3 linked regions of the Struthio camelus genome follow. The main gene of each other region encodes a partner of the protein of the gene in region 2 in a complex. Links are inferred from orthologs where the notes say so. Each region holds a gene or a part of one and is shown on either strand. Other genes may lie near its edges.

Evidence for each region.
Region 1: the proteins of FGFR1 (region 2) and KL are in contact, whole or in part, in a cryo-EM structure (PDB 7YSH), measured with the Homo sapiens proteins. The link is inferred for Struthio camelus from reciprocal best matches to the Homo sapiens genes FGFR1 and KL. Residues at the interface, in NP_075598.2 of Homo sapiens: Asn272, Gln288, Leu290, His292, Ile293, Asn296, Gly301, Pro302, Leu305, Pro306, Tyr307, Val308, Gln309, Ile310, Leu311, Lys312, Glu322, Leu326, His327, Leu328, Arg329, Asn330, Glu334, Asp335, Thr340, Leu342, Leu349, His351; in NP_004786.2 of Homo sapiens: Ser539, Gln540, Phe541, Asp543, Leu544, Asn545, Val546, Tyr547, Leu548, Trp549, Asp550, Val551, Lys555, Arg556, Leu557, Val560, Val563, Thr565, Lys566, Arg568, Tyr571, Val573, Ala576, Glu625, Arg628.
Region 3: the proteins of FGFR1 (region 2) and FGF23 are in contact, whole or in part, in a cryo-EM structure (PDB 7YSH), measured with the Homo sapiens proteins. The link is inferred for Struthio camelus from reciprocal best matches to the Homo sapiens genes FGFR1 and FGF23. Residues at the interface, in NP_075598.2 of Homo sapiens: Glu159, Lys160, Glu162, Lys163, Lys164, Leu165, His166, Ala167, Val168, Pro169, Lys172, Gln244, Asp246, Val248, Glu249, Arg250, Ser251, Pro252, Val279, Tyr280, Ser281, Asp282, Pro283, Gln284, Pro285, His286, Ile287, Ala314, Gly315, Val316; in NP_065689.1 of Homo sapiens: Leu31, Leu32, Gly33, Ser34, Trp36, Gly37, Tyr43, Ala45, Thr46, Ala47, Arg48, Asn49, Ser50, His52, His66, Ile75, Arg76, Ser77, Glu78, Asp79, Ala80, Gly81, Val83, Val84, Tyr93, Phe108, His117, Gln118, Thr119, Asn122.

The regions. Positions count from the first base shown.
Region 1 is NC_090942.1:198,396,311-198,403,832, reverse strand, and holds the start of KL (klotho), read left to right. Parts: upstream 1-4,511; 5' UTR 4,512-4,518; coding exon 4,519-5,265; intron 5,266-7,522. UniProt on the Homo sapiens protein: May have weak glycosidase activity towards glucuronylated steroids. However, it lacks essential active site Glu residues at positions 239 and 872, suggesting it may be inactive as a glycosidase in vivo.
Region 2 is NC_090968.1:7,231,287-7,239,289, forward strand, and holds the start of FGFR1 (fibroblast growth factor receptor 1), read right to left. Parts: upstream 3,004-8,003; 5' UTR 2,989-3,003; coding exon 2,927-2,988; intron 1-2,926. UniProt on the Homo sapiens protein: Tyrosine-protein kinase that acts as a cell-surface receptor for fibroblast growth factors and plays an essential role in the regulation of embryonic development, cell proliferation, differentiation and migration.
Region 3 is NC_090942.1:84,397,694-84,405,092, forward strand, and holds the start of FGF23 (fibroblast growth factor 23), read right to left. Parts: upstream 3,012-7,399; 5' UTR 2,875-3,011; coding exon 2,652-2,874; intron 1,076-2,651; coding exon 972-1,075; intron 440-971; coding exon 2-439; 3' UTR 1-1. UniProt on the Homo sapiens protein: Regulator of phosphate homeostasis. Inhibits renal tubular phosphate transport by reducing SLC34A1 levels. Up-regulates EGR1 expression in the presence of KL. Acts directly on the parathyroid to decrease PTH secretion. Regulator of vitamin-D metabolism.

The DNA of each region.
Region 1 (7,522 bases), on a different chromosome or scaffold from region 2:
ACCTGAAATCACAGGAGGATTAATATTTTGAACAATAAGATGCCCATCTCTTCCTCAGGGGGAAATCAGAGATAGAATGGTATTTAGTAAGAGTGCTAGTATTCTAGTATTTGTGGGATTCTGACGAAAATAGTGTTTGACGTATCTGCATGATGGATGTGAGGAAAATCCCAAAACTTGGCTTAGGGCAGTATTGATTAGGCTTTGATACAAAATATATCACACGTGTACATATACATATGTATACACATATACATATAGAACAAGTGATCGAACAAGTTGATTGAACACTAATTAAATCAATTAAACTAATTGACTGAAAACATCACAGAATCACAGAATGGTTTAGGTTGGAGGGACCTCTGGAGATCATCTAGTCCAACCTCCCTGCTCAAGCAGGCTCCTCTAGAGCATATTTCCCAGGATCGCATCCAGACGGGTTTTGAATATCTCCAGGGAAGGAGACTCCACTACCTCTCTGGGAAACCTGTGCCAGTGCTCAGTCACCCTCACAGCAAAGAAGTTTCTCCTCCTGTTCAGATGGAACTTCCTGTGGTTCAGTTTGTGCCCGTTGCCTCTTGTCCTGTTGCTGGGCACCACGAAGAAGAGACTGGCCCCATCCTCTTGACACCCTCCCTTCAGATACTTGTACACATTGATGAGATCCTCTCTCAGCCTTCTCTTCTCCAGGCTGAACAGGCCCAGCTCTCGCAGCCTTTCTTCAGGAGAGACGCTCCAGTCCCCCCCGCTGCTCTTTGTAGCCCTCCGCTGGACTCTCTCCAGTAGGGCCATGTCTCTCTTGTACTGGGGAGCCCAGCATTGGACACAGTACTCCAGGTGAGGCCTCACCAGGGCTGATCTACTACACAAGACTATTTTCAACTGGCTTTATGCTTGTAAATGTTTGTAAATTTGCTTGTAAACGAAGAATGGGTATTAAAACAGAAAATGGCTGTTCCAGGTGCCGAGGCCTTTTGCTCTGCCAAAGGTAGGAGTATACATGCCACCACTATAAGCCAGGTCGCTATCCTGCAGAGATCTTAAAATGAGGAGGAGGGTTGCTGCATTGAAACCAATGCATGACGTAACATCAGGAAAAGGTGTTAAATGAATCTAAATCATCAACACAGTTGCTTTACCTAAAATTGCATGCCATCAGTAATCATGGCCCCTCAGCCAAGATAGTATCCCCGAAAGTTGTTTCCTTAGGAAGGAAACAAAAGTGCTCAGTCACAACATTGTTGAATTTGATTGCATGCTGCTGCATAACTGATAAAGAAAATTTCTGAGTATAGGCTGACTGAAAATTATACTGTCACTTACCATATCCAGCATACATATTACCAGAAGTTGAGCCTTCACTAATCACTAATACAAAGAAAGCTGAAAGATAACAAATCCAAATCTGCCGGGCTGGGCTGCTGTTGTGTGCTTGCTCAGCAGGGCAGACACGATGGAGCCACGCTTTGAACTCAAGGAGCAAACAGAGAAACCTGCATGTCTGCAAGTGTTTGGCTGACCTTTCTGCATGGTTAATATTGCACAGTGTTTCTTAGACCAGAAAAAAATATATATTGGCCCAGAGCAGAGGGTGGTTGCGTTGTTCTGAAACATGAAAACAAGCTTTCTCTGTAAAGAGAAAAACAGGTAAATGGAGGTAGCGGTGCACTTTTTCTGACTTCTATACTTTAAGACCCAGTTTTCATCTGATAAACATAAAGGTGAAGTGCCAGCTTTGTGCCAGCAACTCATGGCCAGATTTCACCCCTTAAAACTGGGCTGCCGAGTTCAGGAACATACTCACTGTAGGTTCCTTGTATAGTTTTTGGAGAAGGCAGGCACCTCCAGAAGTTGACTAAGTTCTTACATAGGCTGACTCACCCTAACACTATTTCTTTCCTTTGGCTGTAGAGAGGCTCTGCAGAAAAAGAGATCCTAATGAACGTGTTTCAGTTAAGGGTCTAACTATAAATAGGATTAAACTGTGTTTTAGTTAATAATTAGCAAATTAAAAGAGAATGCATCAGGATATATTTTAAAACGTCTTTTGTCCCCAGATACCCATCAAAATTTTTTTCCCCTTAAATCTCAGTAATAGATTTGACACCTCCAAAGCCTTTTTTTTTAGGCTTAGATGTTTCTGAGATCTGCCTCTACACCAAGATTTTCAAAATACTTAGGCAGCAAGTCCCAGGCAAAGGCATTAAACTTCCACTGGAATCAGGTCAGTAGCTGAATAGGAGCCTGACTCTTCACTCCTTGCATAGGGAGGACTAGAGCAGTCCTGTTGTGTACTTAAGATTTAATCTCTAGCTTCTGCAAGTATCTACTGTGTGATGCTATCCTTAGAACAAACTTAGGACTCCGAAAGAACAAACAGAACCCAACAAGCCATACTTCAAAAGAGTGCGCAAATGTAAAAGCAAATGTACATGCACAACCTCTTAGCAAACCTCTATTTTCAACCTGCTGTGGAAGAGCAACTAATATGCTTGTGCTAATATTTTTCCTAGGGGATTGGTACACCTGAATATGGGGAGCATCTGATGTAGCCTATCTGATACTACTCATTTCCTCCTGAAAGGGCATCCATATTTCAATTTTAACACCTTTTTTGTTGCTGCAGTTGGAGCTCAAGTTATCCTTTACTTAGACTGCAATCAAATGTCACCAGCTTGTCAGACTGTAGAGCAAACACACTCCTTGCAGCGGACGATTAGCCTCTGGTGCAGTATCTGCCGCTCTCTTCCCTGCTCCCACCCCATAAACTTGCTGTGCCCTTAGTAAAAGGATGCTATTGGGCCCCTGGGCAATTTAAAACTCCATCCCTCTAACATGGGAATAAATTAATCAGAAACAATGGAAGACTACTACCATCTGGTACTCCAGATCCTTGGTCCCCTCATTAAAAACACCACAAAACAACCCAGCAGCCCCAAATCAAATCGAACTAGTGTGGAAAAGGTGAAAGCTCAAACTTCTTTAAAGACGCAAAGAAAGTGCTCTGCCGTGATTACGAAAGGTGTTAGAGCCCATCCTAGGCTCAAGAGAACACCTTTAGCACCTCAGCGTCCACTAGCAATTGGCATTTAAATCCATCCACTCATTATTAGCAATTACGTGGAGTTCTCCTCTGAGGGCACTTATTTTCTAAAAATAAAATGAAATTATCTTAATGCTTTCATTCTTTAGTTAAACAATAACTTTATCTCCTGGGAACATCTCTCTGTCCTTAACGGCCTGTCTAGTAGGTGTGTTTTATTCTTAGATGCCCCAGCTCATCCTAGGCTTCACATAACTGAATATTAAATACCAACTTTCTGCAATATTTTAAGCTAATTCTTACTTCTCAGCAGACTGAGACCTGCCTTTAAGAAGTTCACGTATCACATCCACACAAGCAGTTAACAGACATAACTAAATAATTAAACTTAAACACACAGCTTTTTTTCTTTTTTTTCTTTCTGCTCCCCATGAGGATCTGCGAGGCCTTTCTAATTGAAATTTGTTTTGCATGCAGTAAATAACCAAATATACCAACCTGCAACTCCAGAAAAGAAAAGGCGGTGTCAGTTGGAGGTGACAGCTTACGAATTATTGTGTGTGGGGGGGGGGTGAGAGCGTACGAAGTCCCCAGTCAATGATTTCGTTTTCAACCATTATTGCATGCCTACAATTATTTAATTATTAATGCATGACGTTTTAAATTATTATTGCAGCTGCGACGTCCCTCGACCCGGCACCACGAAGGAAAGACTGGAGTATGGGGAAAAAAAAAAACCAAAAAAATCCAAAAAGCAGCAGCCGCAGGCTTTGGATCACCCCGCACATACATGAAGCCACGCAGCAGCTCGGCGGGGTGGGGTGGGGTGGGGTGGGGGGGGGGGGGGGGCCTCCAGGAAAGTTTTCCAGGAATTTTTTGGCCGGCCGCCTGCCCGCCGCTCTGTGCCGCGGGCAGCTCCCCGGCGGCGGCGCCCCGGCCGCGGGACAGCTCCCGGGCGCCGCAGCGCTTGCCGCTCCGGCCATCGGGTGGGCTCAGCCAAAAAAAAGCTGTTTTGAGCGTTTCAGGGGCCGCTGGCGAGGTGGCGGGGGCGGGGGGGGGGGGAGAGAGCCCGAGCAGGTACCTCGGGACGGGGCGGGCTGACGGGCTCTGCGCCCTAGAGGGCTGCGGGTGGCCGAGGCGGCCCCGAAGGGGAGACAAGTTGCTCCTTCCCCCGAGGAAACCCCCCCGCCGCCGCCCTCCGCTCCGCTCTCCTCGCCTCCCCCCCCGCCCCTCCTCGATCCCGCCCCCGCAGCCGGCGCTCCCCAAAGGCGGGAGCCCGCTCCCCCTTGGCCGGGCGGGCAGGCTGGCGACGGCAGCTCCGAGGTAATCATTAATAGCCGTGCCCACCGGCGGGGGGAGGGCGGAGGTGAGGATAAAAGGGGGCCGGGGGGGGAAGGTGAGGAGGGGCGGGGAGCGGGGCGGGGGGCTGAGCGGAGGGAAGGCGCCGTCGCGGAGCCCCGCCGCCGCCCGCCGGCATGGCCCCCTGCGCGCCGCCGCCCGCGCTGCTGGCGCTGCTGGCGCTGCTGCTGGGCCGCCCGCTGCTGGCGGTGCCGGGGCAGGGCGCGGGCACCTGGGCGCGCTTCGCCCGCCTGCCCTACCCGGAGGACCAGCTCTTCCTGCACGACACCTTCCCCGAGGGCTTCCTCTGGGGGGTGGGCAGCGCGGCCTACCAGACCGAGGGCGGTTGGCGCCAGGGCGGCAAAGGCGCCTCCGTTTGGGACACCTTCGCCCACCGCCCGCCCGCCGCCCGGCCGCCGCAGCCCGCCGGCGGCGACGTGGCCAGCGACAGCTACAACAACCTGTTCCGCGACGCCGAGGGGTTGAGGCGCCTGGGGGTCTCCCACTACCGCTTCTCGCTGGCCTGGGCCCGCTTGCTGCCCAACGGCACGGCGCCCCTCAACCCCGCCGGGCTGGCCTACTACAGCCGCCTGCTGGGCCACCTGCGGCAGCTGGGCGTGGAGCCCGTGGTCACCCTCTACCACTGGGACCTGCCGCAGCGCCTGCAGGACGCCTACGGCGGCTGGGCCAGCCCCGTGCTGCCCGAGCTCTTCCGCGACTACGCCGAGCTCTGCTTCCGGCATTTCGGCGGGCAGGTCCGTTACTGGCTCACCATGGACAACCCCTACGTGGTGGCCTGGCACGGCTACGGCACGGGGCGGCTGCCGCCGGGCGTGCGGGGCGGCCCGCGGCTGGGCTACAGGGCGGCGCACCACCTGCTGCAGGTAAAACGGCGGCGCGGTGGGAGGGCGGGGGAAGGGGCTCCCCCACCATCTTTGGGGCCTTCTTCTCCTCCTTCCGGAAGGTGCCGTGCTGCCCCCCAGGCGGCGGTGAGAGCGGCACCCTCAGGTGGTGCCAGCTCTGGGCCTGTGGGAAGCTGCCCTCAGGCTGCTCCGTGCCTTTGACAGCCACTAAAGTAAAGGGGGGGAAAAAAAGGCAAATTAATATGAAGTGAGCATCAGAATTAAACATCCATTCTGTTCCCCTTTGGAGCGGGTAGCCTTTTCAAGGGGTTAAAGACGCCTTAGGCTCATAAATTGGAGGCGCAAACTTTGTAGTTGCAGTTCCCTCAACTTAATGCAAACACACCGAATTAAAATGTTCTTTGTATACTGCAGAAATGTTTAATTTTGGTCTCCCGACATTTGTGAATGCGATTCTGGACGTTTGAGTTCAGACCAGTGCTGGTTCCAGCCTCCGCTTCAAGTTGCTGTGGAAATTTTAAATACAACTGTAAAAAGAATTCATGTGTTTGATACAAAAGTCTGGTTGAATTAACGGAGGTGGTGGAGGTGGCTGAAACGTCTTACCAAAAATATTTCTTAACAGAGTAGGATTTTTCTGGACAAAGAGAACATTTTTTGGGGGGGAAACAACCCTGTGTTCCCCAGCTAGGCTAGTAAGTCTCATAACTTTTTTGTTATAAGTATTTTTTATGTAATTTACTTATATATGGTATATTTGTAAGGTTTGCTGGAAGCACTTGTCAGAATTAAGCAAAAGTGTGTGCAAATCTTTTTCACTGACTGAGTAAAAGATTCAGTATGTCTCACTGGAGTGGTATTTAGTTACAGCTCTTAAGAAATAATCTATTTTACCTGAATGCACATTCCTAAACTCTGCTAGTGTTCATTTGCTCAATATATGCTTACTGGCAAGCGTATTGTTCTCCTGAGTGAGTATCGTATATGAAATGAGAACGCTGATAAAACATCCAACTCATGGCTTAGTCAACTTTTGCCTCTTTTATGCATTAACTTTGCATCATTTAGTGTTAAAAGTGTTTCAAGACAAAATAGAGGGGTGTACATGGGTGTACACATGGATGTAATTTGAACAGGGGTAGCATTTCAGATGGCACTTAAATTCCTGGTGCTGAAACCTTTAAACTCTTAAGCAGTTCTTAGGATGTACTTGACTGAGTTTGATGCCGTGACTGTACAGTTCACTGAACTGAATCTGCTTCTGAGTGAAGGTACTCCTAAACTTAAGCATTTGCAGTATTAGCCCCAAATTTTGCAGCAAGACTTTGTCGCCTATCAGTGATCATTACACTTTTCAGAAAATCTCTAAATAGTTACTCACAAATTATTTGCTATACTTGCATAGTTATTCTGAAATCAGTGGGACTGTGCACAAGGGTAAGGGCTGTAGACTCGGTGCCATCGGTGACAAAATCTTGGGAGCTGAAGTTTTATTTCTCCGACTTTGTATAGATCATATGCAAAAGAAATCAGTAAAGCTGCAAATCTGAGCTCTCGGACTGTCAAAAGAAAGCTTACCTTGCAATTCTTACTTCAGCTCTGAGAGTCATAGGCATGCTGACTTGGACTTTTAATGTTGTCTGTCACTTTATTTTCTTTCTAAAGCCTCTCCTCTGCTGTGCAAAATGGACAAGTGATGAGTACCAATTCAATATTCTGTGTGGTTCTCCCCTCCACCTGGTTGTTCGGTTTGCGGCTTCGGGTCTGAATACAGGGCTCTGAAAACAGATAACTAAATGTAATGGTTATTTTCTCCATGAATTTTCCACAGTGCTGTTTTTCCCGAGTATTTATATCTCACATCACCATAGTATCTGAGCGCCTCCTAATCTCAAGCATATTCTTGTTCTCACAAAAGTCCTATGAAGAAGGGAAGTGCTTTCTTCCAATTTCATAAATGAAAAACTAAGGCACAGACTTTCATAAGGCATATAGAAAGTATAAGAAATTAGACCAGGAAAGTCTACTATAACTATTTTAGTGACATAATCTCTGAATCAGTCTTCTTCTAGTGACTATCATTTCATTTTTTTCACAAACAGTGATCATTTCTTTTTACACAGCTCTGTAAGGTAGGAGGTATCATTTTTTCCACATTTGACAAATGAGGAACCGAAAGACAGAGGCAATTAAGGTCAAAAGTATCCACTAATTGTTGGTGCCCTCTTCCTGGCATGTGATTTTTGGGCAGTTATACATTCAGCTCTTCTGCTGGTTG
Region 2 (8,003 bases):
TTCATCCCCAGAAGCAGAAGGTCTGCAAGGCCTGGGAAGCTGAGGAGAAAGTGGGATTGCCAGGGCTGGATGAGCATCGCAATTCACTCTCCATCGAGCGGCCCCTTCTAGCAGCCAGGGCTTGCAGAGCCAGAGCATCAGGGTAAAACCTGCTGAGGCTGGAGCCAAAACAGCTCCTAGTGCAGTTCACATTTTTAGGCACATAAATAAATAAGGAGCTCCAGTTTGCACCTGAAAGCAACTTGGGCTCCTTCCCAGCACGGCTGGAGCAGCCAGCGCTCCCCATGGCAGGCGCTTTGCACCCAGCAAAGCCCGGTACCGACCCATGCGCGTGCAGGCTGCTTTTGCAACGCAGGGAAGAGCACTGCTCCTGCCTTCACCCCGTCAGGGCAGGGACCATCCTGATTTATTTTAATCCTCCCTGAACAACACAAGGAAAAGGCAATAGTGCATGCCAGCCACCGCAGAGATTAAGGAAGTGCTCATGTGTGGGGAAAATGGCTGCTAGCCAGAGAGGTATGCAGGGTCCGTGCTCCCGGCCCCGCAGCATCGGCAGGGCTCGGCGGGGTCGCTGCATTGCCGCTGCCCGCGCCCCCACGGCTCCCCGCCTCCTCTGCACAAGCGCTCGCGCGCGGCCCCTCACCGCCGAGCGAGTCCCAGGCACAGCACCGCTGCCTCCGCCTGCTCAAGTCTGAAAGCAAATTCCAATTTCACTCGCTTCGGGACCTGGGCAGAAGAACAGCTTCTAAGCCTCTGTGCTTTATTAACACAAGCAGTTCGGTGAACCACACTTCGGTGTTTAAACATTCACCGGAAGGAACTGTGTACCAGTCAGCCGTAGCGCTTCAGACGCTGGGTAGTTATTCAACAATCTAGGCAGAGAAGGAGAAGCGCACCACGACTCCAGTACTTCTCTGTGTAACCTGAACGCATTACAAATGGATACGCAACTCGTGTTTTCAGCTGGGCCGGCTAGTTACATAAGTCAAGCTGCCTCTGATTGGATCTTGCACTCAACTCGGTAAAACAGCAAAAATTACAAATACCACAACCAAAAATGCCATCTGAAACCCAATACAGTCCCGGCTAGTTACGCACATCATCCCAGCAGATAAGACAAATATCGCACACGCCATCAGCCAGCACGCTGTACTCTCTGAGCGTTCGCCATGTATGAACAAGGACGACTCTCAGAGATCCTGGCAAAGAGTTTTGATAAAAGACAATCTCAGAATCTCCTCATCTCCCCATGGGCACCTCACAAACACAAAGGAAATATACAATTTAAGGATATGTTGTTTCCAGCATCTCAATCCCCAGTTACCACCGGAATGCCCCAACATCAGGAGGCTTAAACAAAACAAAACCCAGCAAGTGCCGGCTCCTTACTCATCTTCTTCTGGGAGCCTTGAGGCTCCCGTTTGCGAACTTCTCTTCGCACACAACGGCTAGGCAGCAACTTTGCAAACAAGCCACCGAACGGCAGAGCCAGGTCCGCGCCAGCCCCGCGCCGGGCGGTGGCCTCGGGCCCGGCCGCGCTGCCGGAGCGCCGGCGCCGCGGGGGGCTCCCGGGCCGCGGCCCCCGACGGGCCCCGGGCCGGCGCGTTTCCAACGTGCCGCCCCGCCGCGCTGCGCGGAGCGCCGGCCGCGGAGCCCGACGGACCGGAGCCGCCGGTGCCTGCGAAGCCCCGATGCCTGGAAATCGGAGCCCTCCGCTGCGCTGCGGAGCCCCGATGCCCGCGAACCGGAGCTCCCCCCGGTGCCTGCGAAGCCCCGATGCCTGGAAATCGGAGCCCTCCGGTGCCCGAGGAGCCCCGATGCCTGGAAATCGGAGCTCCCCCGGTGCCCGAGGAGCCCCGATGCCTGGAAATCGGAGCCCCCCCGGTGCCCGAGGAGCCCCGATGCCTGGAAATCGGAGCCCCCCCGGTGCCCGAGGAGCCCCGATGCCTGGAAATCGGAGCCCCCCCGGTGCCCGAGGAGCCCCGATGCCTGGAAATCGGAGCCCTCCGGTGCGCTGCGGAGCCCCGATGCCCGCGAACCGGAGCTCCCCGGTGCCTCCGAAGCCCCGATGCCTGGAAATCGGACCCCCCCGGTGCCCGAGGAGCCCCGATGCCTGGAAATCGGACCCCCCCGGTGCCCGAGGAGCCCCGATGCCTGGAAATCGGAGCCCTCCGGTGCCTGAGGAGCCCCGATGCCCGCGAACCGGAGCCCCCCCGGCGCCCGAGGAGCCCCGATGCCTGGAAATCGGACCCCCCCGGCGCCCGAGGAGCCCCGATGCCTGGAAATCGGAGCCCTCCGGTGCCTGAGGAGCCCCGATGCCCGCGAACCGGAGCCCCCCCGGTGCCCGCGAAGCCCCGATGCCCGCGAGCCGGGGCCGCCGTCGAGCGGCGGGAGGGCGGCGCAGGCGGCGGTACTCACCGGAGCCCCGCGGGGCGGCGGCGGCGCGCTGCCCGCCGCTACCGAACAATGGCGGGTGCCCGGCCGGGGCGAGGGCGCAGCCCCGCCGGCGCCGCGCTCACTGCGGCCGCCCCATGGCGGCGCCGGCCCCAGGCGCTCCCGCCGCCGCCGCCCCGACCCGACCCGACGGGCGCCGCTGCCGCTGCCGCTGCCGCCGCGTCCCCGCCGCCGCCGGACTGAGCCGCTCCCGCACCGCCCCGCCGCCTCCTCCCCGGCTCCTCCTCCGCGCTCCCCTCCGCCGTCCTCCCCAGCCCTCCTCCTCCTCCTCCTCCTCCTCCTCAGCGGCCTGCTGGGGCTTGTAGTCGCCGCCGACCCCCTCGCTCCCCGCCTCCCCTCGACGCCCCCGGGCTGCGCTCCGGCCCGCCCGGCGGCCGCCCCCCGCCGGGCCCCTGCCCGGGGCCTCGGGGCCGCCGCTGGGTTGCGAAGGCTGTTCCCCCCCCCCCCCCAAAACCGTCCAGGTTGCGCATACGAGGTGCTCGGCCCTTCCGCAGCGGGATGCTTCCTTCTGCGCTCGGCCCCTCTCTCGCTCATGGCTGCTGCGCGCCGGGAGAGCGGCGAGCCGGGAGCCCCGCCGTCCGGGGGAGGCAGAGCCGGGAGCAGGGGCAGAGCCCTCGTCCCGCGGCGCCGGCCTCCTGGCAGGGCCTCCGCCGACCAGGCGCCGAGACAGCGGCGCGCTGGCACGCAGGGGCGGCAGCGCGCTGGGGAGCCCAGAGCCCCCAGCCTGGCCCTTCTGCGAAGCCAGGCCTGGGGCACCCACTTTCTGCCAGCAGTTTTCCAAAGGGTTGCCAGACTCAAATCATTCCTGGGAGCCGTCCAGGAACTCCTGCTGCTGGAAAGCCTGCCCCTCCCCTGCTGTGCCCAGCTGGGCAGCTCTCCACTGAGGTCCGGAGCACGAAGACTTGGAAAGCACCCCGAAAGATCCCTGCGTGCTCAGGCAATACATGTGTCGGCTGGTCAGGCCTCCAGCCTTTCTCCCATATGCTGTAGCTGCTGTACCCTCCCCAGGCCCAGGCCCAGGCCCAATCTCTGCGGGTCGGGCGAGCTCCCCCAAAGCCAGGCTCGCGCAGGGTAATGCGGACTGTGACAAGGTTTGGCCTCCGTGCAGGAAGCACAGATAGAGGAGCAAACCCGACTCACATTCAAAGTCAGGGTAGGTCAGGATGAAGACGTCTCCTGGCTGGTAGTGAAAGACCTGCGTGAGGCAATGTGTAAGTGATTAAGTTATAACAGGGAAGAGGACAGACTGAATTAGCCCTGTCAATCACCATAGCTATATTTGAACCAAATGCTGGGCATCTGTCTTCAGGAGCAGCCTCTTGCTGGTTCAGGCAACTGCTCAGATGGCTGTGCCAAGACCTACTGAATATTTTTTTTCTGGGATGACAGATGTGTGGACAGGGGAGAGGGAGGGGAAGGTAACATGCCTACCGGGATGCTCTTGCCCCGGCATGTTGAGCATGGGAAGAGTGTCTAAGAGAGCCGGTGGCATGGGGCAAGAAGAGCTGTTCCCCAGTGCCCCCGTGATGCGCAGCTTGCCCCAGGCGGGCTCCCCGGGCGCCTGCCTGCGGGGCAGCCTGGGCGTCTCTGCGTGCGTGGGTTCCCTCTCGCTGCAGCCCGCGGGGCGGTAGGTGTGCTGGCTGGCAGCATGTTCCTCTCTCTCTGCTTTTTCTCTTTCGCCGGACAGGCGAGCTCTTCCCAGGAGGTGATCGAAGAACGGTGCGGCTACCTGGCAAGGAGGGCAGGCGGAAGCACGGAGGAAGCAGATCTCATTGTCTGGAGAGGGCCAGCCCGGCGAGCTGGAGCACCTTCCTATTTCCAGGCGGGTGAAGCAGGCTCAGCTCCGTTCTGCAGGAGGGACCACCTGCCCCGAGGAGTGAGACCCCCCCCAGCCCCAGCCCTGCTCTCTTCATCCCCCGGACAGCCAGGAACCAACCTGCTTCATGCTTAGCTATAGGGACCGAGGCTGGGGCCAGGTTTGCTGCACGGGGACCTGAGAGAGCTCCGGGCGGCTCCTGCCCCCCCCCAGGGCAGCCATGCCTCCTGCTAAGCTTTTGTCCCAGGCTTAATAACGTCGGCCCTGAAATGGAGCTGATGGATTTGCAGCCATAACATGTCCTTGTGAGGAAAGGGGAAGGGCTCGCACCTCTGCTGCTGCTCTCCTTGGGGATGGCTTTCTGCCTGGCTGCATCGCGGGGGCGGAAGACTGAACTTTGTGGGCCTTTACGGTGCTCGGAGATGGCGGAAAATGAGGACAAGAATCCCCTGCTCCTGGGAGGCTCAAGGGTTCGCTGCCCCCCGGCCTCAGCACTGGGGCTCCGGAGCAGGAGTGACCGCGAGCTGTCACCATCTGGTGGCATACAGACCCCCAGGATGGCCGGGGAGAGGAGCGCTCCCCGGGGCCGGCTCCGTGGGCATCCAGCCCGCCCCGGTCCCCAGGGCCACGCTCTCCCGCACACACCTGCGCGTCGGTGACACGCTTTCGAGGCGACGCAGATGCGATTTTCACATGGAGCCGGGCTTGTTTCACTGCAACTACACTTAATCAAGAACAGGACCAAGATAAACTGAAAGCACATCTGCGCTACGCTGACAGCTGAACAGCTCACCGCGCGCAGGCCGAGCCCCGGCCCAAGCTCGGCTGAGCCCGCGCGCAGCCCGGATGTGCTCGCGGGCTGGCTCTGACGCGGACATCCAAGCGCCAAGCGCTCGTGCAGAGCTTTGTGCTGGTCTAACGATCCCGTTGGCCTCGGGGCCGGGACAGTGCGCTCACACGGACGAGATCTGTCCGGGGCCAGGACGAGGAAGCCGGAGGGGTTGCTGGCGGCTGGCAAGGGTGCTGGTCCCGCAGCCTGCTCGCCCCGGCCTTGCTCCGAGCGGCCCGTCCCCGGCACCTGGCTGTCTCGCTCGCGGTGGCCTGCTCCATGTGCATCGCCGAGCAGCCCAGCCACGGCGGCAGCCGACCGCCCGGGCAGCGGCAGCGGCACTGGTGGTGGGATGTTGCCAATACTGCTTGCACAGCAGTTTCTCCAAGTCTCCAAAACTTTTGCATGAGGGCCCGGGTCTAGGAAGGGGCAGGGTAGCAGCGCGAGCCCAGCCGGCAGCACAAAGGAGCCGTTCCCCCCTGACCTCAACTTGCCCAGTCAAAGATCTGCAGCTCTCCCCTCCTCCCCACTACAAAGGGGCTCTTTTCAGCCCCTAATTCTGCATTTAGAAAACAAAAGCAGATGCATCTAGTTGAGCTTTGTGGAGGGGGAGGCCAGGAGCAAACGCTGAAGAACAAAGAGCTTTCCCTGAAAGATCTGGCTGACAAAGACTTTGTCAGCTCGGGCTGGCCCTGCAAAGGCCGGGGCACATCAGAGTGCAGCGCTGGCTGCTCGCAGGCGGCCGGCTGGCTCGCGGGCTCGAGCCTGCGCCACCCCACAAGCGAAAGGCAGCGCACGCGGCAGGGCACGTGGGAGGCAGCCGGGGCACACGTGCGCGTGGCCCTGCTCTCTGCGGGGCGTGCAGGGTGCACGCGCATCGGCTCCGTGCGTGCGAGCGCCGCGTCCGCAGCGCGTTACCGGGCGCACGTGCGCTGAGCGTGGCTGCGCACGCGGGTAACGGGGCGCTGCAGGAGGGAGCGCGGCTCGGGCAGGACACCAGCCTCAGGACTCCTGATCGGAGCCTCTGCCGGCTGCGGCGTGGCTCGGACGGACAGGCCAGTTCCCGTGCAGCCCTCTTTCCCCATCTCTAAGACACGACTCGTCTCTTCTCTGCTTCCCCCTCCGCCTCCTGGCCAGGCTTTTCAGGACGTTGCTGATGTTCTGCAGAGGCGTCCAGGTGCGTTGTCTGACCTTGGCAAATCACTTCCCATGTGCTAGAACATCTGAGTCACTAGTGGTGACTTCACCCCGCTGTCCCAAGGCTGGAGGAGCTCACAGCAGCCGTTCTCCATGCCGAGAGGAGTCTGTTCTCAGGCAGGGCTTGTGTGAAGCGTCTCAGAGAGAAGTCCAGCCCCTCTCAGCACCCGTGGCTGCCTGGCCAGCCCCGTGCCACCCTGCCAGAGGCCAGCAGGGACACTGCGGAGAGCTCGCCCGGCAGCTTGCAAAACTCCAACTTTCCCAGGGAAATGGGACATGTGAAAATCAGCAAAATGTTAGCTCCCGGGCATGATTTAGAAGCTAAGTAGAGCCTTTTACAGGAAGCCCCCTCTCTCGCCTCTCTGCTCCAACTCCATAAAGTGTTATTAGCGGCTCTGGCTGTAGCTAGAGGTGCTGCCTGTGCTCAGCTGGACTTCGGGCACTGCCGAGCCAGGCTGGATCACACACCCGCAGCCCTTGGCCGCATGTGGCCCCTTTCTGCCCCACGGCGGGATGGGGCCCACCAGGCCTGCCCGGGAGCCCAGCCCAGCTGTGCTGCTGTCCTGGAGCAAAGCCCTGGCATGGGCAGAGCACAAAGCCCTGTCATGGGCAGAGCACCGGCTCCGGTCCTTGGGCTTGCAATACAGCCCGGTGGCTCCCAAGCACTCTCCTTGCTCTGAGGTTTTCTCTGCTATTAGCATCAACCCAAACCTGCTTTTTCCTTCCTTGGTTGCATCTCAAAAGCACCATAATGTCCCCCATCGGCTGCTACTTGGCTGCTTTTCTGATGGTGATGAAGGGAAATCAAACAAGCAGAGCACCATTTCACTTGCAGGGGAGAGGAGCAGCGCCAGGGCCAGGGGTGCTCAGGGCACCTGCGGTCGCAGCAGGGTTTGCCTGCAGACGAAGCGTTCAGGAGACTGAGCAGGACCCGTCCTGAACGAGCGAGCGCCTCCATGGACGCCAAACAGAGACGCCAGTGCAGAGAGGAGGGAGGTGAAGGATGCTCTCCTGCAGGCATTCCCTGGTTCTCCATGGCTTTCTCAGAGCCTTTCAAACCAAAGCCAGGACCTATGTGGCCAGGGTGCACCCCGTCCAGCCGGGGGGGCCTGATCAGATGAGTCTTTGCTGGAAAACCTTGGTTTGGTCCCCGGCAGTGCTGTTGGGACCACGGACACTGCAGGCTCTGGTGTCTTTCTGAGTGGTGGCTGGAGGAGACCTGGGCTGAAATGGGGAATGAGACGCTGCTGAGACAATCCATGGGGACCAGCCTGGCTGGTTTGCAGAGGGGTGCTGGCATGCAAAGCCAGGCTCTTGCTCCCTCTCCCACTCTTAACCTCTTTTATTCAATGGCTGTTGTCTTCTCCATTTTTTTAAAGCCTCAGCTGACTTTTAAGCTCTCAAGCTGACTTGTCACAGGTGACCATGTAGGCACCTGGTGTCCAAGGCCAGGCTCGCTCCCTTCCTTGCGCCAGCAGCTCTGCCTGGCTCGCCCGGGCGGGCTGTCCCAGGGTCCTGCCGGCCAGCAGGAAGAGCCTCAGCACCTTGTCCCCCCAGAGCTTTCCCTGCCACCTCCGGTGCCCGCAGGCAAGCCACCGTCCTCCTGCCGCTCCTGCGCGAAGGCGCCGAGCCGGCTGAGCAGAAGTCTTGGCAGGGAGGCGCTGGCTGCACCGACATCCTGCCTCGCCTCCGAAGGGCCCAAGATCG
Region 3 (7,399 bases), on a different chromosome or scaffold from region 2:
ATTATCTTGTAATATAGAAGCGAGGGCTCACATGCCTCCTGGCATCCATCATAGCGTGTGGGTCATCTGGGTTGACCACATCATTCTGATTGATTCTCATGGGTTCTCTGGGCACGTGGGAAAAGTCTGCTTGCAGCTGCAGCTGGGATCCTAATGCGGAGACCTTTCTCTGGGGCACCAGGATCTGGTGAGGATCCATTGGATCGACATCTGCACTTCTAGTGTTTCTGTGGGGCTCAGGTGTGTTGAATCGGAATAAAGGAATTTCATTTCTCCTGGACAGGAACTGGGAATATGGTGGTGGATTCATACCAGGGAAGAAAGCTTGTTTAACTCTGCCTAAGCTAACCAGGAAGTTGTATTTAGGAGACTGGTACACATCGTATCCATTTTCCAGGGTTCTGTGTTTGAACACGCAGTCTTCTTGGCTGAAGTAATGCTTAAGGAAAAAAATGACAGCTGTGAGCAGAGAGATTTGGTGATTAAAGAGTGCCAATTAAAAACAGAAAGAAGAATGAGATCTTGCAGCAGGTATCTTTCTGATCCCCTAGCTCTGCAGTAACAACTGAGACAAGGCTTAGTAAACTGTAGACTAATATATATGCCCATATTTACAGCAAAGGTATTTTTGGGCTAACACTGCTTTATCTGAGAGGATTGTATTGTCTGAGCTATTTCCAAGCCACGACTATAGACTACAGCAAGAATTCAGGTTGATCCACCATTAGATTTCATTCTGGCCTCATTTAGCCCAGCAGGACTTGCACGACTTCTGTCAGCTCTATGATTCAATACGATTGACAAGAAGAGGAAAGTTTAACCTACGTGTCAGGTTCTCAGCTGGCTTAAATCTGCCTCCTCCGTCACTGCCTCTGGCTACAGAGATTTGTCCTAGCTGAGGAAATTGGCCCTATGGTAAGAACAGCAGGCTGCAGCTGCCTCAGTCTTGAGTCTTAGCAAAGGTCACTCACCGATCCAAAAATGTTTCCTTTCATGTCCATGCATAGGTAGCGTCCACTCTTCACTCCAGTGATTATTACATAGCTAGCACCCTCGGATTTGATCATTAGAGCACCTATTTAGAAAAACAAAGATATCAAATCCAGGACACAGTTCTGCACTGGATTGTTGCCTCACCGATCCACAAAAGTGCTGACTGGAAGGGCCATCCCGGGGGTCTTTGGGCCACCATTCCACTCAAATGTGGACAAATGTGCTGTTGGCTCACATTTGGCTTGGTGCCCCTGTAACCCTCAGGACCTGTCCAGCAGGGCTCTGTCTGTGCAGTGAGGCTGCTCCAGCCTGTACCACCACCAGGGGTTATTTCAGCCCTGGTGCAGAACTTTGCACTTCTCATGTGTCTGGTGTCTCAGCAGGACTGTGGTGACCTGGTTCAGTTATTTTGCTTTCACAGCCCCTTTCCTTGTCTTATCTCACACTTTCTGCTCTACCATTTCAACTACCTGTACACTTGCTTCATGACAGATTGGCAAAGCATGGTATTTTGTTGGCTGTGATTCTCTACACCATCACACTGGTTCTTGACCAACACGACTGAATTTTTTAGACCCTACTAATATATTTGAAGAATAATAACAAGAGGATGCAGCCTTTCTACAAGTGTTTTATCCATAATTCATAAAAAAATAGCAGAACTTGATCATTTTTTCTCCTTAATTAAATTATAACCTTTTTAAAAGTCTTTTGTTCCTCATACACTCATACACAGGTATCTCTGGATATGCTTATATTTTTAGTTGAGTAGTTGAAGAAGATGCTACACAGTAGTAATAATTAAAATTACTTTCTGATTTATTGTTACTTGTGATCATTTTTCTACTAGTTATGGTGTTTGGGCTAGGTATGCAACAAAGAAAGGAGGATACCCCAGTTTTCCAAGAAAATAGATGAGGATGAGACAATTTGGGAGCCACACCTGCACTCCGAAGGCTTAGCACTTCATTTATGAGAGTCTGACATTTTGCGGTTTCTCCCAGTTTAATCAACCTTTGCATATTCAGTGAGCCACGTTCTATGCACAGTTGTGTTTCTACCAGGCAGTACATTAAAGGCACAAATCTGAAGCTTGTCTCACAAACTAATTTTCGATTCAGAGAAGTATTGGTGTACTCAAAAGGAAATGACCAACTGTACTGATGTAGTTGCCTACAGATATTTTTCAGCTCTCTACCCAAAAGTAAAGGTTTTATGGACAAAACCAGTTTTCCAGCACTTGTGTGGTGAGTTCACTCAGTATACTTCTTTTGCAGATGTTATCAATGGAATAAGAAGGAGATACTTGGGACATGTCATCACCAATCTCTCATTGGAACTTCCACAAGAAGCTGTGGGTAAAATCATGAAGTGAAGGATAATTTTGGTAGTTTTTGCTTGCAGAGTATCACAGGAATCACATAACTTACTGTAAAGGTGAAGAATCAGAATTCCTATCTGCTAGATTTCTTTGAAGCAATTTTGTTTATTTGTTAAACAAAAGGAATATTACAATTATGTGTATTTTCCATCTCGCAGCTGTCTGCCTGCCAACCAGGAGGATGGAAATTGCTATAGCTAGTAAGAAGGCAAAAAAAGACCATTGTCCTCTCTTCCCTGCTCAAATGAAGACCGGGGGTCCATAATGAGCTACTTACTGTAAATGGTTTGGTGCGGGACACCGTCAACGTAGCCATCAGCGTTGATTTGGAGGTGGAAGCTGTTCCTCTCCGTAGCTGTGTACAGGTGCATCAGGCGATCTGCACTCCCCCAGCTGGGATTCAGCAGTGGAGAGGAGTTGGGAAAGGCAGCGGTAGCCTTCAGGCTGCAGAGCACCAGCAGCATGCACCCTAAGCAGCTGTAGGGAACGGCCTGTGGCATGGCTCTCTGTCCTTAGTGGCTAGTCTGTACCTGAAACTTGATACTCCTCTTTGCTTCTCTCTTTCCCTGGTTTGACTGCGTTTGGAGTATGAATCCTCAGATGGGCTCCTTTCTTCTTTGCAGAGGCTTATAAAGGGTAGCCAAGTGACATCACACAGGAAAAACTTCTCCACATCCTTGATTTTTGTCAAAGCAACATTTTAAGTGGCCCGAAACCTCAAGGGAAGGAAAGCACGTAGGTTCTCTGGCTAAGGTGTGGGGGGGGAGCAAATGTAAGGTTTCTAAAGACAGCTCACAAAAGCTAATCATATGTTCAAATGTTATCTACAAGCCTGTGACATCTGAGAGCTTCCCACGCCCCTACTGTTAAATCCAGGAAGAGCAGTCTACTGTGCTACATAGAAAGCCTTTTGGGAGGGGAAGGGAACGAACCTTTAGACTTTGAACTTTTTCTCAGATATGTTTGTTCAGATTCCCACCTTCCCCTTGGTTTTCCAAACCACATTCTAATTTCACAGAAGCACCAAATACTGCTAAAATTTTTGAAGATGTGTCAGAAGCTGGTATTAGGTTAATCTGGGCCTGATTCCCCATTCATAGTGATGTAAATCCAGCAGTGAGCCTGTTGGACCGAAATTTATGTCACCTCCTTTAAGCAAGAGAAGCTTGATATGAGCGCAGCCCTCTTGAAATAAGCTCTCCCTTTTATTTCTTCTGATATCTTGAGTTACCTAAATAATTTGAAGTTGGCCAGTCAGCTGAAAATTACCTGTAAGATGCTTAGAAGCTGCATATTTGTTGCTGTACTGTAAGTCTAGGTGGCAATCATGTAAGGAGTCATATATGTTAGCATGGCTAGTAGATCTAGGACCCACATCAAAACAGAAATAGCTCATCTTGGCACATTTTTTTACTTGAGGTATAGCAAGCACACTTGGAAGAACTACAAAAGAACATGACCAAACTGAAAAGTAATAACTGCAAAGCAATGTTCAAAAATGGCTTAAGATATGATACCCACATTTTAGTTGTCCTGCCGAATTCTGTGGTTTTACAAATTTCCCAATTAAAAAAATGCTTCCATTTTCATTATGAAAATGCTGTATTAATGGGAGAGTGGTTATGTAGGTGAAATGATGATGATGATGATGATGATGACGACAACGGGTTATGAAACTAGGCTTTACTAAAGTTTCTTTCAAAAATGAATATAAAACTGAAGAGAATACTGAAAACTAAGTCAATCACTTTTTTAAAAAAAATAAATTTGAGGTTTTTGTTTGTAGCAGTCTTAGGTCCAGTACTTTCAAGCAATATACAAATAAGTTAGTCTCTAGTTGGACACAAGGTGTCAGATTCTCAGTTTCCTTAGTGAGCTGTGGAGCAGTGCCACGAGCACCATGCATATTACAGATTTTTACAACTGTATTCAACTGCAAAAGCTGATCTGATTTTTTTTTATCGTTTAAAATTAGCAAAACTCTGCCAATTTCTTCTGACATCTGTGTAAATCTAAAGGCTTACGTCAGTGTGTATACACCTGTGTAAATGACAGCAATTTTATGCAAAGTGCACTGGGGTCATATCTTAAATGGAGTAGATTAACAAAGTTGACTTCACTGAGAGGCAATTAAGGCTACAAATGTTTTACTGGGTGTAACATCTGAATGTCTTAATTTAAAAGCTAGTTTGGAAGGAAAGGATGAATATTATTTCTTTTCTTTTCTAAGTGATGTATCTACCTTAGTACTGAAATTATTCATTCATTTTTTTCAGTCTGGTATTAGAATCCAAGGATTTCTAAAATTTTTTTGGTCTTTTACTCCCTTTCATTCAGACTAGTGTGGAAATATGGATGGGGATACCTCAGAAGCAGTTGCAAAAGTTTCCACAAGAGAGTCATATACAGGATAGATTGTCTTCTTGGAAGTTTTTGTGATCTTTTTGTAAGTGGAGTTTTTCTGGTGTGATATTTCATATTCATCATGATTTTTGTCTGTGCTTACCTTTATGCGCTGATCTGATTTCTCTCTGGTGTCTTAGCTGCAGAGAAACAGTTCTCATGTTTCTGAAAAATGTATTCAATCATCTCGGCACATGCCAGTTGTGACCAGCCATTTCTCTTTTTTTATATATGGCAGACAAGCAGACTATTTTCAGGTGCTTAAATTGTTTGGCATTTTCAAGTTTCTCATGGGGTCAGTAGCACTCCAGGCTTTGCTGAGTTGTGTTTGTTTAAGCTGACAGGCTAAAGCAAATTTATTTAAGTTTCTGCTTGTCAGGATGGTAATTCAAATTTTGCCTTTTAATGCACATTTTTACTTTAATTCTATATGCAAATTGGTGATGCTTTTTTAACAGTCCATTTCGTTTTTGTTCCCGGTTGATCCATTTATTCCTTCTGTGGGTATGCCACTTAACTTCTCCTACCCATTCAGCTGTTGCTGAAGTAACCAAGCAGATGAAAGCTTGCTTACTTGTTCAGCTCTCTAAGTTAGCCTAATGAAAGCGATTAAAACCTTATTCCTCTTATATCCTTATGCTGTTGCATCAGTAGCAATAATATTTTCATAACTTTTACCATATATGTTGATATTTCTTTTTTGTCTATACTGTTTTCAGATGTTTGACCAATCAAGACAGCTTTTCTAGGTGTCTCCTGTACCTAAAGAATTAGGTGCAGCATCTTGTAGAGGGAAAAAAAAAAAACTGAATTTGAAGACCAAAAATGTCTAATCAACCTCAGAATTGCTATTCTTCTTTAAATACATCCTTAATTCAAATAAATAATTCAGGGAAGCAGGTTGGTCCCTGCTATGTGGAGCCTCTTGAGCAGACAGGAGGCAAGGTGAGTGCCATGAGGACAGCAGCTGAAATACACATGGATCTTGAGGCATGCTGGTGGAAAAGGGAAGGACTGCTGTGTCCTTTAGCAAGGGAGACCGAATACAGACCTTTCTGCCATCAGGGTGGCCACATTTCCCTCTTCCCACCTCAGAAACATGGCACAGCTGGGGTCGGGTGACACAGGACACAGGACTCTGCAGGACTACCTGCAAAGGTAGCGGTAATCACTGACAGCCCAAAGGCAGCACTGAGGGTGGATGCTGTCACCAGCAATGAACAATAAGGAAAGTCTCCCTTAACCGCATTGCTGAAGAGGAAGGGATGGATCAGACCACTTTGCAGTTGAAATGTATGTGAGAAAACGATTGATGCTCTGCACCTTCCCAGGCTGTTTCCCTCCTCCCCTGCCGGGCCATCACCCCTTACCTGCTCCTACCGACTCTGTCCTCTTTGCTTTGGAGGTAGCAGAGGTCTGGCAGGGTTGGTGGATCTGGGAGCTGGGCATCAGTGGTGATAGGCTCATGCCTCATCACTGGGGCCTACCACGTGGGCTGCAAGTGCTAATCCAGAGCACACAATGACCAGCGGACACAAAATACCAAGTATCTATAAGTGAACATAATCATTTTCTGTGTCCAATGAGACAAATATGTGGTGGGAAGTTTTGTAATTTAATTAAATATGAACATTTAACTAAAAATTATACCCAGAACTATACACAAGGGAACTGAGTTAAGGTAACAGGAGCCTGAGCTCTGAATTCCCACATTTTGAGCACTTTGCATTTCAGCCTCAGGTCATTTTTGATCATAACTTATGATTTCAAATCTGTCAAACCCTGAGCTTGGCAGCTGCTCACCTTCCCTTGTGCAACTGCTAACAAGATAACTCCCTTCTTTCGTTGCTTATCACTTCAGTCAGCTACAGGGGACTTACAGGGCAAGTGCAAACTTTTTGAACACGTATAAGTTACTACAAGAAATTCACTCTTACTTACCTTTTGCAGGCTCTTTAAAAGTGCTTTATGCACCATCAAAAATTTGCAGGTTAAAAAATGAGTTTCCTGCTTAGTATAATGAGGTTACTTTCCAGGTCCTCTTATGAATAAAAATACGTGTCTCCTCACAGTGTTTGACTACCTTTCAACATGTAGACACACGTGTAGGGTTGTTGCTTAATAAAGCATGCTGACCTATATTTAAACAGGTGTGTGGCTTGTCATTTTGCAGAACCCTGTTCTGGCTGAGGGCAGGGAGATGTTCACCAGTCTGTCCCCGGGGCTGGCAGCCATGTGAGGATGGGGAAGAATTGCCCCTTCTGTTCCCAGGTAGCTGGGATGACCCTCAGAAAGCCTTCTGCTTTTTGCTATTTCAAAGATCGCAAGGGAATTTGGCTTGACAAATCTGAAACTGCCTCTTTTTTTCACGCTTTTCTCTGCACTGCATCTCTTCTAAGAGGTCAGAGATTCAGGGACACTTCTCCCTTCTTCCCTCCTCCTTAAAATCACTATAATGACTCTGGGACAATCACATCTTCGATGTTGGAAGTACAAGGGTGGAGTGCCTCTCTAGTAGTTATTCTTGGAATAATGACACACCAGGACAGCGGTGTGTACTGTGGATGCCCTGTGTGCATGTGTGTGCATGAACCTTTGCCACAGACTTTACCCAGTGTTGTT